Tamandua tetradactyla: one gene and its partner. The protein of the gene in region 2 interacts with the protein of the main gene of each other region in a biochemical or structural test. Links are inferred from orthologs where the notes say so. Each region holds a gene or a part of one and is shown on either strand. Other genes may lie near its edges.

Region 1 (7,321 bases), on a different chromosome or scaffold from region 2:
ATCCCTTTTTCAATTATTTTTCACAGCAATTTAACATAAAATAAATTATTGTTATCCGCTTTCAAAGGGTCCCTCCACAGATATGGCTTGATAAGACAAATAGGTTTTCTTCATATATATTTTGGTTCAAAATAAAATCACAGGGTACACAGGTCGCTCAGTGGTAGAATGCTTGCCTGCCATGCGGGAGACTGGCTTTAATTTACAGCCCATACGCTAAAAAATAAAAATAAAAAATAACAATAATAACTACCTCTTTTGCAAGGACTCATGCTAAGCATTTTATATAATTTTATCTCATTTAATGCAAATTTAATGAGATAATGCATAACAGAGGTGATGTTATGCACAGACATTTAAAACAATCATTTAGAAAGAAATCTACAAATGTTTCTCCTCTCAAAGGATCATAAAGATGGAAGGCATCTGGTCTAAACCAAGACCCAGGATAAGATGTTCCTAAGCCATGCAGTTATGGGAGGGATTCATTGTCTGGCACCACAGAGCTCTACTCCTGATAGGTAAATCAAAATGTGTTGTTACTCTCTGTTAGGCAGGAAGGAAAGGACACATCAGTGTCTTAAGGGACCAACAAAAGTTGTAACTGGACACTATCAATCACCATAAAAGAGCCTGCTTTTTCTTACGTCAAATAAAGGTGCGTTTAGTCTACTAAGAACTTTCAACTGAACCATTAACTGTCTAAAGCCTCAAGCACAAAAAACAGTTATTAGTCAAACTCCTCTGCTGGGAAATGAAACGGCAGCAGCGGGCAAGTGAAACGCATTGGTCAGGAGCAGATCTGGACTCTTAATTTGCCCTCCCACCTTGGACTTCTCCTTTCTGCCTTTCAGTTTCTTCAATTGCAAACAGATGAGAATAAACTAAATTAGTAAACTCTTTGCCATTCCAACTTTTTCTAGTCTCGTGATTCTAAAAGGAATCTAGGAGAAAAGACTCTTGGCGAGAAGACAATATCTTGGAATCGCCTCCAGTTTGGCAATGTAGCAAAGAGACTGTACTCCTAGCAAGACTGATGGGCAAGGCCTGGAACTTCTTAGTTTACATAGCACCTTTCCCTTCTTGATTTAAGTGTTTGTGGATTTTTTTTAAAGGTATTTCCCAAAATATTCAAAGATAAACATTTAAGTGACTTATGTATAAATCTAGATGATCAATTAGTGTTTGTCTTTAGTTTTTATTGATGTTGTTCTTTTTTTGTATCTGAAGGTTAAACACTATGCTTATTTATTCCATAGTTTCACAAACAGGAAGGAGGTTTTAAATGGCTTAGTTCCACAATTCATGGTAGATGAATATTTTAAGAGAACTTGTTGCATAACAGACACTGCCTCTTCCTAAAATGCATCACACCAGAGCCAGTTTTGGAAAACACAAATATGGGGTGGGTATATTTTGAAAACTATGTGAACATAATAGATCCTTAACTAACATTTGTGGCTATTAGGGAAAATATTTGTTTTTTTTTTTCAGGCATCTTTCTTGTCAAACCAGTTTCTACTATTGAAGGAGATTAAAAGGGACATGTAGGTTAAATTTTGCTCCTGGGTTTTACTTCTAGCGTAAACACCAAATTACTTTTGTCCTAAAGGATTTTATTGTTTAGGTACAGGAGACTAACAGTACACGCTAATCTATATCAACTTGATTTATAATCCATATTTGTGTGGCATTTATACGTGCAAAAGCACCCTCGTATTTATTGGTATTATATCATTCGATTCTTACTCAACTCAATGGAAGTGATTTTATTTGCCCCTTTAGAGATGGAGCAAATCAGGCTTCAGCTTTGTGACTTGCCTAAGGACAGTGAGTTAGAAAACTCAATGAATACATGACTCTGGAACCTGACTATCCTAATTCCAATTGCAGTGCTTATTCCCTGTCCTCCATTCCTGTGTGTAATGATGCAGTACATTGAAAAGACTGGAAGATGAGTTTTAGAATCAGTGCGAGAGGCAGGAATCAAATCCTATCTCTCCATGTGCCCCCCACAGGAAAGCTATTTGAGCTTCATTTGTGAATTAAGCTAAAAATAGTAACATCCCCCCACCAATGGACTTTGGAAAGGATTAAATGGAATAATACATGAAAAGCACATAGCAGAATATTCTATAAATGTCAGCTGTTGTTATATTATCATATAATCTACAAAGTATGTTTGGTTACACTGCTTGAAGCACTTTGTTGTTCAAAAACCGTTAATATATGTGAAAATCAAACCCTGAAAATTAATTTATTCTTAGCAGTAACATCATATGTCAGATGCCAAAGGAAAGCATTTCATGTACAAAAGACTTTAGTTTTAAGAGTTGGCATGATTTTTTAAAAAGCAGTTTTACTCACACATCACACAATCCATCCAAAGAGTACAATCGATGGCTGTCACAGAATTGTGCATTCATCACCACAATCAATCTGAGAACATCTTCATTGCTCCAAAAAGAAAAATCCCACCCCCTTATACCTCCCTAATATTAGCAATGGTGACTTAGTTACAACTGATGAAAGAATATTAACTATTAATCCATACTTTGCATTAGTTGTGTTTTCCCCATATACCTCCCTATTATTAACAGCTTGTAGTAGTAATGTAAATTCGTTCTAGTTCATGGGAGAAATTCTTACATATGTACTATTAACATCATCCACAAAAGGGTTCACAGTGTTATACAGTCCCAGGTTTTATCCTCCAGCTTTCCTTCTAGTGGCATACATTACCCTAAACTTCCCCTTTCAAACACAATGACACCTATATTTCAGCACCATTAATTACTTTCACAATAATGTGTCTCCATTGCCTCTGTCATTTTTCAAACATTTACAATCAAGCTTATTAAAAATTCTGCACAAATTAAGCACCAGTTCTCCAGCCTCTACCCTCATTCTATCTCATCGTGGTATGATTATTTTAAAAGAAGATTTATATTTTGCTTTCTATAGTTTCAAATGTATAGAAACTATAGTTTCTAGAGTTTCAAATTTTCTTAATGTTAATACCTTCTAAGTAGTTTGTGCCATATGAAATTACCATTTTTGAACGTAAAAATGGGTAATTAACGGCAATTTCATATGGTTCAACACCACAGATTAACAAATCTGGGGTTGATGAAAGGTTTGTCGTTGTTATTTTGTTTTGTTTTCGTTGCAATGGGGATTCCCAAGTTGACATTGAACTGAAAAGTATCTCAGTTTCAACTTAGGTCCATTCAAACAGGTAATGAGGGAGTGATGCCACACTCCCAAGAATTAAAAACAAAAGCATAAAACTTCCTCCCTCCATCCCAAACACAGGCATGAACACCCCAGCTCCCACGGAAATCCAGAGTGAAATTATGTCTCAATGCCTGCAAATTCCCAAGGAGGGCACCAAAAGGACTTGACAGTGAATGCACTGAGGAAATCGGCAGCTGTTGAAGTCACCTCCTGTGGTCTTGCCAAATGTTTGAAAGGGAATATGGTGTGTGTGTGTGTGTGTGTGTGTGTGTGTGTGTGTGTGTGTGTGTGTGTGTGTGTTTGGGGGTGGAGATGAGGGGAGCGTCATTTATATCTGCTCGGGTTGAGGGGCGTTGGGGAGTTCCTGGACGAGGAGGTCTGTGTCTGCGTGGCTCTGCAAGCCTCCAGGCGAGCGTCTGTGCGTGCTGCCTTCTTTCCCTCCCCGTGCCCGTGCCTTTGTGCCTCTGGGTGAACCTGTGTTTGTTTCTGGCCGCGTCTCTGTTGGACAGGGTGACTTTGTGCCTGTCTGCCTCTGTGCGCGCGCGCGCGCGCGAATGTGCACGTCGGTGCGCTGGACGGGTGTGTCTCGGTGTCTGTGGTTCCGTATAAGTCTGAGCATGTCTGTCAGGGAGCATTTGTGCCTGTATATGCGTGTCTCGGGGGGCGCCCTCACCTCTGTTCCCGCAGGTGCCCGTGCGCTGCCCAGTCCGCACAGGCGCCCGGGACCGACAGGTAACAGCCACACCAGAGCCCAAAGCGCCTGGCTTCGCCGGCGAGCACACCAGCCCCCGCTTTAGCCCCCTGGGACCCGCCCGGGGGAGCCGGGAGGGAGTGATGGGCCCGCCCGCCGGGGAGCAGCTGCGCCCCGCCCGCGCCAACGCCGGGAGCCCGCGAGCTGGGAGGTGGCGGGGGGGGGGGGGCTCGGGGGGGGACGGGGCGGGAACGCGAGGGCTGCCCGCGCGCCATTGGCGGAAAGTTGCCGCGCGTCACCGGGAGGGCAGGTCCCCTAAAGTCCAGTGCACATAACGGGCAGGGCGCACTCTGAGGCGGCTTCTCCAGAGCGCGGGGACGGGACTGACGGGGACGGCGAGCCCAGGGCACCCCACAAAGCTGAGTGTGCAGGACGCGCCCCCGCCAAACCCACCTCACGGCCGCTGAATGAGGCTTCCGGGCGTCCTCCGGTGGCCCGCAGCGCCCCGCCCGGGGTCCGCCCGCTGAGGCGCGGCCGGTGCGCCGGCAGTCAGTGCACTCACCTGCCAGCCTGCGCGCCATGGGGCAACCCGGGAACAACAGCGTCTTCTTGCTGGCGCCCAATGGAAGCCAAGAGCCGGACCACAACGTCACGCAGGAACGGGACGAGGCGTGGGTGGTGGGCATGGGCATCGTGATGTCCCTCATCGTCCTGGCCATCGTGTTTGGGAACGTGTTGGTCATCACAGCCATCGCCAGGTTCGAGCGTCTGCAGACGGTCACCAACTACTTCATCACCTCTCTGGCCTGTGCTGACCTGGTCATGGGCCTGGCGGTGGTGCCTTTCGGGGCCAGCCACATCCTCATGAAAATGTGGACATTTGGCAACTTCTGGTGCGAGTTTTGGACCTCCATCGATGTGTTGTGCGTCACGGCCAGCATTGAGACCCTGTGCGTGATTGCGGTGGACCGCTACTTCGCCATCACCTCACCGTTCAAGTACCAGAGCCTGCTGACCAAGAATAAGGCCCGGGTGGTCATCTTGATGGTGTGGATTGTGTCAGGCCTCACCTCCTTCCTGCCCATCCAGATGCACTGGTACCGGGCCACCCACCGGCAAGCCATCAACTGCTACGCCAAGGAGACCTGCTGTGACTTCTTCACGAACCAAGCCTACGCTATCGCCTCGTCCATTGTGTCCTTCTATTTGCCCTTGGTGGTCATGGTCTTTGTCTACTCCAGGGTCTTCCAAGTGGCCAAAAGGCAGCTCCAGAAGATTGACAAATCCGAAGGCCGCTTCCACGCCCAAAACCTCAGCCAGGTGGAGCAGGATGGGCGGAGTGGCCATGGACATCGCAGGGCCTCCAAGTTCTGCTTGAAGGAACACAAAGCCCTCAAGACTTTAGGTATCATCATGGGCACTTTTACCCTCTGCTGGCTGCCCTTCTTCATCGTCAACATTGTACATGTGATCCAGGACAACCTCATCCCCAAGGAAGTATACATCCTCCTGAACTGGGTGGGCTACGTCAATTCCGCTTTCAATCCCCTCATCTACTGCCGGAGCCCAGATTTCAGGATTGCCTTCCAGGAGCTTCTGTGCCTGCGTAGGGCTTCTCTGAAGGCCTGTGGGAATGGCTACTCCAACAGCTCCAACAGTAAGACTGACTACGCAGGGGAGCAGAGTGGATATAACCTGGGGCAAGAGAAAGAAAGCGAACTGCTGTGCGAGGTCCCCCCAGGCACAGCAGACTTTGGGAGCTGTCAAGGTACTGTGCCTAACGATAGCATTGATTCACAAGGGAGGAATTGTAGTACCAATGACTCACTGCTGTAATGCAGTTTTTCTACTTTTTAAAGGCCCCCCCCAAAAAAAAACACTAAAGAGACTATTTAACTTGAGTGTAATAAATTAGAATAAAATTGTATAGAGAGGTGCAGGAGGAAGGACATCCTTCTGCTTTTTTATTATTATTTTTTTAAACTGTAAAAAAAGAGAAAACATATTCGAGTGATTATTTGTTTCTTGTACAGTTGAGTTCCTCTTTGCATGGAACTTTTAAGTTTATGTCTAAAGGGCTTTCGTCCCAGAGGACCTGGATCTGCTATGTTTTGGCAACTTTTCCGTGTATCTACCTCATTGGCCAAGTATTAGGGGTGAAATATTGCTGCTGGTAATTTGTATCTGAAGGAGACTTTCCTTCCTGCACCCTTGGACTTGAGGATCTTGAGTATCTCGGACCTTTCAGCTGTGAACATGGACTCTCCCCGCTCCTTTTATTTGCTAAACGGGGTATTGTAGGCAGGGATTTGAGGGGCAGCTTCGGTTGTTTTCCTGAGCAAAGTCTAAAGTTTACAGTAAATAAATTGTTTGACCATGACTTCATTGCACCTGTTTCTCCAAAACCCCTTCACAGGAGTGTTATTTTCTCCCCCACTGGAAACCACAGGTAACTATTTGTCATAACTGTTCAGTGACTTAATGCAGAATGATGCAGACTTAATGCAGAATACAAAATGACATGTGCTGATTGCTTAACCCTTTCGTTTGCCTTTGAGTCTGCTGCTGCTGCAAATCTGTATCTCTCCTAGCACTCATGCCCCCAGATCAGTTCTGCATGCTTCTGGCATAACTGGGCTCGTCCTATAATTATTATTCTGTTCTGTTACATCAGAAACACTGAATCATAGACACAGAGTTATGAGTATATGTTTTGTCCCTCCACACCCCCCCACCACCCACCTTCCAGTTCTACTTGTTTAGAAACTGCCTGTATTTATATCTTTGCCGTATCTTATAGTGGAGATCTTTGTACTGCATCAGGACTTGGCATTTTAGGGATGAATAAGGGAGATGTTCTTGAGAAAAAGCTGCTCAAACATAGCCCCATAATTCCAAGAGAAAATAAAAGGGCATTGCTTATAGGTAGAAAAAGCTGAAAAATAGCTGATGAATATCTCATGACTTAGAAATAGGGTTTTAACCCCTTCCCTCCTTCTTTTCTTCTGTCCCCTTGTATAAACCAAGGTTTCTCAGTGCTGGCACTATGGGCACTTTGGGCCAGATAACTCTTTGTCTTCTTTGTGGTGAAGGTGGGGGTGGGGGAGGCTGCCCCATGCACCTTAGTATGTTTAACAGCATCCCTGGCCTTGACCCACTAGATGCCTTAGTCCTGATGACCAAAAAATGTCTCCAGACATTGCCAAATGTGAAATCTTCCCAGGTTGATACCACCAGTATAAACTTTTAAAACACAAACAGATTTTTAGATTCTGTCTATTGTACCACTTTATCTTGGGTGGTTTTTCCCGGTTCACCCAGTTAGTGCTAGGCCCTAGGCCAGTGAGTGGCTCTTTTCCACTATATCGTGCTGCCTTCTGAACTCACTTTCCA
Region 2 (7,231 bases):
AATGAATGGCCAATCCATGGCACATGTGCTGCCACCTCCAACCCCATGCTCATGGCAGACATCACTAATCAATCTCAGTACTTTTGATCACTGAGTCTTTCTGTGGCCTCAGAATCCTCAAAGGGCACTCCAGGAAATCGCTGGTCACTACCAAGGATATGTAAGGTGACACCTCCAAGCCATCCCCTAGAACTGAGTTTTGTACTGTAAAGGAGTTGGTGAGGAAGGCCACTCGGGGGAGGTGAGACTTGAGCTGTGCCTTGAGTTATGGATAAGAATAGGGCTAGGGTGCACAGGTAGTGGTTAGAATGCCTGCCTTCCATGCGGTAGACCCGATTCGATTCCCAGACAATGCACGCTTCCCCCCACCCTCCCCCCTAAAAAAGAATAGGGCTAGAGAAGGCAGAATGTGGACCCAGATGAGAGAATGCACAGGGCATCATGTCCTGGGACCAGTGAGTAGGCCAGGGCAGAAGAAGGAAGGGCAAGAGGGAAGAGGAGAATGGCCTGGACCTTGGCCTGGCCTGGCTCAGCTCAGCTCACCCTCTCCCACAGGCCTGGCTCACTGAGATCCATGAGTATGCCCAGAGGGATGTGGTGATCATGTTGCTAGGCAACAAGGTGAGTGGCTCAATGACAGGGCCAGCCCACAGCCAACTCCCCACAGCCCCAAGAGTGTGATCTGGATATGCTTTAACAAAGGATGCTTCCCAGTCCCCAGCTTAGGGGTGACCTCAGCCCCTCCTGTCTATCCTCTTAAAGTTTTGGAAATGGCCTCCCCCAGAGAAAGCCTAAACTGCTGCCTGAGAGATCCAGGGTTGCCTGGCTACTCAGCCCCCATCAGATCATAGTGGGTGGGGACGAGGGTCAGGGACAGAGATTGGGAAAGGTTAACCCAAACTGCTGTCGCCTCTCTGAGGCTGGGCCACCACACCCTTTGCCAAGGAAACTTACCCACCTCCCGGGCTGGGGGAGAGATCCCAGGGATGGGAACTCGGTGACCCAGCCTGAACAAAGCAGAGCCCCTGCTTTGTTCACAGCCAATCACAGCCGCAGCCTCACCCCCCAGACTCTGACACTCCTTCCTCTCAGTCCCGTAGGCCACCAGCAGGGGGTGGGCAGTGGCCACTCCTGGGGCAAAAGATGGGCTAGCTGGGGCAAGGCTCCCTGACCCCTCCCCAAGTGACCCATATGGCTTGACAGGCGGATGTGAACAGTGAAAGGGTGATCCGTTCGGAGGATGGAGAGACATTGGCCAGGGTGAGTGGGTGCCCGCGGGCTGGGGTGAGGGGCGAGGGTGGCCAGCGGCAGCAGGCCCTGAGGACACCCTCTCCCTGGCAGGAATACGGAGTTCCCTTCATGGAGACGAGCGCCAAGACCGGCATGAACGTGGAGTTAGCCTTTCTGGCCATTGCCAAGTGAGAGCTGAGCAGGGGAGGGATACACCCCTACAGGCAGGGTGCATCCGGGTATCCAGCAACACTGGCCGGGCCTCTGCACCGGGCCCGGGGAGTGGGGCAGATGCTGGGCCCCTCACTCCCAGCTCAGATCACTGCTTCTTCCTCTTCAAGGGAGCTGAAATACCGGGCCAGGAGGCAGGCTGATGAGCCCAGCTTCCAGATCCGGGACTATGTGGAGTCCCAGAAGAAACGGCCCAGCTGCTGCTCCTTCCTGTGAATCCCAAGGGCTGGGTGGAGGCTGCTGAGGCCCAGACGATGCAGCTACCTCCCCACACCTGGTGTACTCCTGAGCAGCTGAGCAAGGGGAGAAAACAGAGGGACGCAGTGCCCAGCCCCTTCCCTAGAGGGAGCTGTCTTCCCACTCCTTCTCTAGTTACTGTAGTTTCCCTGGCATCTCAGGGGAGGGTAAAGCATTTCTATTTCACTTTAATGATACCTAATTTAATACAAAAAAGGATCCCCAGGGTGCCCAGAAGACCAAGGTAGGGACACTGGCCCAGTTGCCTTCCAGCACTAGGACCAGGCCTGCCTCCAGGCCACACAGAAGAGGCTTTGCTCCAACTCAGCACCAGGGGGCACTGATGCACTTCTGCCCAGAACCCTAGGGTCCAAGGGCAGGTAGGGACCTGTTTCCACCCTCTGTGCAGCTGGAGAAGGGCTCAGTAAACCCATTCTTCACTTCCTCCAGCTCTCCAGGGAATAATTCTCCCAATAAGATGTGGGAGGAGCTAGACTAAAGCCTCAGGGAAGCTAATAGATATGGAGATTGGAGAATGCCCCAGCTCCCCAGAGGGGAAGAAAGAAGCAACAGAGACTGGAGTCTATGTGGAATACCTTCTAGCCTTACTGAAACCCCCCTCCTGGAGGCATGCCCCTTTCCCTCCTGGATACAAGCACATTGCGGCACCTGAGGATATTTAATTCCTGTTCTCTGGACCTCAGATCCCTGCTCTTATCTACCCCCAATCCCTCCCCAAATTTCTGGTCTTATCTGCTTTTCTACCTGTGCCTCTAGACACAAGTAGAGCAAGGGAAGGGTTTTTCTTCTTGTCCCAAACCCTTGGCAGGCATGCGACCCCCTAGCTGCTTCTTCCAGCAGCTGTAGTACTTCTGCTGGGTTGAGTCAGATAAAGAGAAACCCCTGGCTCCTGCAGCAGGTGGGAGACAGACCCAAATAAACCTCTCCCCACGTGAAGCCCCCTAAACCTAAGCTCTGCCTCTTCCCTGACCACCTAGGCCCATTTCTTAACTTCTCAGACACTAGGGTCAAATAAACTTTATCTCTACTCCTTCGGAGTCCAGTTTGGGAATGAGAGGTCCAACGTAATGTGTGCAAAACAAGGTCATTTAGTTAAGTGTCCGGTGAGGACCAGGGGTGGCAAGGAGTCTGGGTGGGGCCAAGGTCACAGGTCTCCCAGAACCCTGTGGATTGGGAGTGGACAGGAGATATGCAAGGCATGTCCCAGAAGCACCTTTACCCTAGCTCTTAGGCCTAGGAAGCTTGAGAAAGAGGTAGACACAGCATATTTCTGGGGATACTGCATTTGCTTTCAAGGCAGAAATCTTGCTGGCTGAGCAGACTCAGCTGCTCTTCCTTGGGCCTGATAAGGAAGTTCCCTTGGCCTCTCCCAGAGGGAGCAGGGAGGGGTCACACCTCATCAATCTCCCTTGGGACCCAAGCGACCCAGTCACAAAGGCTGTTTTGGACCTCTAGCATTTGTGTGTTTGGGGCATTAAATTGCAGTATTTTGGAAGTTATAAAGGGTATGTACACTGCTGGCTTTGAGGCACACGTGGGAGGGGGGCATCGTGTTGAAGGGATGTTATTGTGTTTGGGGGGAACTGTCATTGGGAGCCAAACGTATTCAATCTTCATCATTCAACAGAGTACACCCCTAACAAGAGTACACCCCAGCCTCTGATGGGCCCTCACGTGCCAAAAGGAAAAGCTGCAAGAAGGCTTCTCTTATACAAGCCTCATTTCTCTTTGTTGAAAAAAGTCAGGTGTTCTTTTCCTGCGGTCTGTATCCAGACGTGGAATTCCTGACTCTGTCCTGCCTCTCCCCACCCCAGCTCCCTAGCCTAAGGCCGATGCCATGGCCACACCACTGCCCGAGGTGTCCTGTCTTTAGACGGCTCCCCGCGAAGCCTCGGGCTCTCTGCAAAGCGCTCACCCTCCCTGGAAGGGATGTGAAGCTGCACTCCCATAAACGGATCCGGGGATAGCAGAAACTGACTCCAAGAACGGGAAAATATCGTCATCTAAGCAACTTTATTGGGTCAGAGGTGGTCCTGTGTCTTATTCACAACCCCGTTGGGAACTCGCTGACCAGGACCTGGAGCGGTTTCCCCGGCAACAATCGTCCACCCCTCAACTGAAGCTACACCCAGGATTTGGGCCGTTAAAACGTTAGGGTCCTTTACCCTAGGGTAGGGTGTCCTCAATCCCCCGCCACAGGTGGGTGAAACCAGAACGGAGCTCACGGGCCCCTCCGCCCAGTACCAGGAACTCGGCCCTGCCCCCGCCCCTCCCGCCGCGACTCCGGCCACTTGGTAACAAACACTTCCACTTCCTGAGTCCTCTTTCTTCGCCCGCCGCGGGGCGCCGCGCCGAGCACTGGCCCCGCCCCCGCAGGATCCGATTGGCCTACGACGTTCACCCGGCCACAGCGCCCCCACCCCGTGGGCCCTGATTGGCCCGCGGCGGCCCACACCCTCGGCGCGGCCCCGCCCCCGGGGTAAGGGGCTGGCGGGATTCTGGAAAGCTCAGACGCCGCGCTCCGCGGGGATTGGTCTGCGCGCCTTTCCTCACGCTTCCCGAAGTCGGCGGCCGCCGCTCCCGGGACACCTGCTCTCTCCGCTCGGCTGCGGGGAGTCCCTGCCGCGCTCCCTCCCGCCTCCCGGCCTCGCCAGGCCGGAGAAGGGCTGGGCCGGCCACCGACGGGACGCGCGTCGCGCCGCTGAGGCGTCGCGGGGCGAGATGAGCGCGGACGCGGCGGCCGGGGCGCCCCTGCCCCGGCTCTGCTGCCTGGAGAAGGGCCCGAACGGCTACGGCTTCCACCTGCACGGCGAGAAGGGTAAGGTGGGCCAGTTCATCCGGCTGGTGGAGCCCAGCTCGCCGGCGGAGAAGGCGGGGCTGCTGGCCGGGGACCGGCTGGTGGCGGTGAACGGAGAGAACGTGGAGACGGAGACCCACCAGCAGGTGGTGAGCCGCATCCGCGCCGCGCTCAACGCCGTGCGCCTGCTGGTGGTCGACCCCGAGACGGACGAGCGGCTGCAGAAGCTGGGCGTCCAGGTCCGGGAGGAGCTGCTACGCGCCCAGGACGGGCCCGGGCAGGCCGAGCCACCCGCCGCCGCCGAGGCGCCGGGGCCTGGCGACGAAAAAGAGGCGCGCGAGGCCGAGAAGAGCCCCCCCGAGCGGGTAAGTGCGGGGCCCAGGCGGGGTGACGGGGACCCGGGCGTCTCGGAGGTGCAGCCCCGCGCCCGCTGCTGTCTTTCTGGAACTCGAGCGGCGAGGAGGGGCGGCTGCTTCCGCCCGCCGACCTGGCGCATCTCCAGTTCCTAGGCAGGCCTGGGGGCAGCGTCCCACGACCCCAGCATCCTTTCCACACTGCCTGGGCCCCTGAGCGCCGTCTGCCCCTCTTCTCGGTTGGTCTTGGGGTTGGCGGGGAGGGGATGGGGGCGGCCCAGGAGAGCCCCGTCCCTTTGCCTCGGCTCTGTTGGCGTTTTCGCCCGTTCCTCGGAACCCTCCAATTAGTTGTGTAATGGCCCTCTCCTCGGCGGTCCCCACCCTGTAATTGGGCCGGCAGGAGGGACCCGCCGCCTAACCTTCCTCCTCGGCCCCTAGGAGGGGGGTAACTGAAGCCGGAGGAACAGCGAGCGTGGCCCCGACTTCAAAAAGCCAGAAGAGTCCCAATTTCCTTTACATGCGGAGGCCCAGCCCCGGAGTGGGAAGAAAGGGGTGTCGGGCGGTTACTCCTGGTCTCTGTCTTTCTCCTCTGCCCGAACCCTCCATGGTTTGCGCCCTTCTTCAGCTCTCCTGGACTTCATCGTCCTCCTGCAGACCTGTCTAAGCAGCTGTGTGGGGGAGGGATGGGAGGAGGAGACGCAGAGGCGTCTGGGGGTGGTGGCGGCTCTGCCACCCAGGAGAATTTATGATTCTCAGGAATGTGAGGAGTAAGCGCTAGCCTGTATCAGGGCTCGGCAAGGAGGACTTTGGAAGAGGAGAAAGAATGCAGGGGGACGGGTTGGCAGTCGGTGTATCATACCTAGGCAGGTGGGCTTCCCCCAGCATCCCCTGTGGCACTCTTGTCCCCTCCCAACAAACTGGTTGCTTGCTGCTTGCCTGCATTTGGTGTTGCCCCAGACGATCCCAGTTTGGATCAGCTGCAGGAGGGGCAGCTGGCAAAACAGGCATTGCTGTTCTGAGCCTCATGTCCCCTAGGGAGGGACACTGGGAGGTCCCCCCGGGTGCAGACAGTGAAGTGCAGGGCCTAGGCTCTGCCGGGGTCCAGTGAGCTTGCACCAGCTCTCCCTGGTGGCAGCGTGTAGGAAGGGTGCCAGTGGTGCCAGTTGGAGCCTCCTTGGGCAGAGGAAGGGCATAATTCGGCTTTGAGGTGGAAGGTGGAGCCCCAGAAGACCAGCTGGTTTAGTGTAAGTGAGGGAAGTGAGGTCACTAGGAGTACTGTCCAGCCGGAGCCGGGTGCTGGGAATGCCAAGGCCGCCAGGCTCCCACTTCCTGCCAGTGCCAAGCTGGCATTGGCAAGGGGTGGGGGAGGAACCAGAGCACCCCTGGCAGGGGGTTAACACCAGGGAGTTAGAACCAATGACCTCTGGTTCCAGGTGGAAAGCTGGTTTGAACTTTGTGCTGAGTGCATCGATTTGCCTTTTTTGTTGTTTGTTTTGAACTTTGGCACCAACACAAATAACGCCCCCCCCACACACACACACACACACACGTTGCGGTTGTGTTCAGCTCCTCCCTTTGCCCTTTTTGTTCTGCTGGGTGCAGTGCCCTAGGGCCTGGGAGGGAGTGCGGAGACTGGAGGCTTGGAAAAGGCAACGCACACCCAGAGAACAGCCCTGCTCTGAGGACTTCTCTGGATGAGAACAGACTGAGACTCCCCAGATGTTGGTTTGCTACTCGGCCTACCTACACTTGTTTGTACTTTGCTAGGTCAGGAGAAGGGAGCAGAACCACTTCCAGAGAGTCCTAGGGAAACCATAACCAGACCTCTCTCAGGTCACAGGTCAACAAGCAAGCCACAGGGCTTCCCTGAGCCCTGGTTTTCCCATCTGTGAAATGTGGGTGTTGTAGGATCTCCCAAATAATTGGGAGGTTCTTGAGCTCCTACTAGGTGCTTAGTTGAGCTCCTTCAGGCCCGGGCGCTCATATCCCAGATTGTGTAGCTGACTCCTTCCACCTTATTTATGGCCAGTCAGGCCTGGCCAGTCCCTCTCCGTATGGTGAGGGGTCAGGCAACCCACCTTGCTGTAAGAACTTTTTTTTATTTTCGCTAAAAGCCATTCCTTTCCTACATAAAACATCAAATCACCTTTTTTTACTTCTTTTTTTATTAATTTTTTTAAAAAATACAAGAAAAACATTCTTAACATATGATCATTACGTTCTACATATGAATCAGTAATTCACCATATCATCACATAGCTGCATATTCATCATCATCATTTCTTAGAACATTTGCCCCAATTCAGAAAAAGAAATAAAAAGACAACAGAAAAAAATTCATACATACCATACCCTTTACCCC

What was found.
Region 1: the proteins of NHERF1 (region 2) and ADRB2 form a complex in vitro, tested with the Homo sapiens proteins (3 studies listed by BioGRID and IntAct, with this or other methods). The link is inferred for Tamandua tetradactyla from reciprocal best matches to the Homo sapiens genes NHERF1 and ADRB2.

Annotation. Positions count from the first base shown.
Region 1 is NC_135346.1:29,580,535-29,587,855, forward strand, and holds the start of ADRB2 (beta-2 adrenergic receptor), read left to right. Parts: upstream 1-4,288; 5' UTR 4,289-4,507; coding exon 4,508-5,764; 3' UTR 5,765-7,321. UniProt on the Homo sapiens protein: Beta-adrenergic receptors mediate the catecholamine-induced activation of adenylate cyclase through the action of G proteins. The beta-2-adrenergic receptor binds epinephrine with an approximately 30-fold greater affinity than it does norepinephrine.
Region 2 is NC_135332.1:15,205,531-15,212,761, forward strand, and holds the start of NHERF1 (Na(+)/H(+) exchange regulatory cofactor NHE-RF1), read left to right. Parts: upstream 1-4,203; 5' UTR 4,204-4,440; coding exon 4,441-4,881; intron 4,882-7,231. Other genes in the region: RAB37 (ras-related protein Rab-37), read left to right, coding at 556-621, 1,204-1,260, 1,342-1,418, 1,572-1,677. UniProt on the Homo sapiens protein: Scaffold protein that connects plasma membrane proteins with members of the ezrin/moesin/radixin family and thereby helps to link them to the actin cytoskeleton and to regulate their surface expression. Necessary for recycling of internalized ADRB2.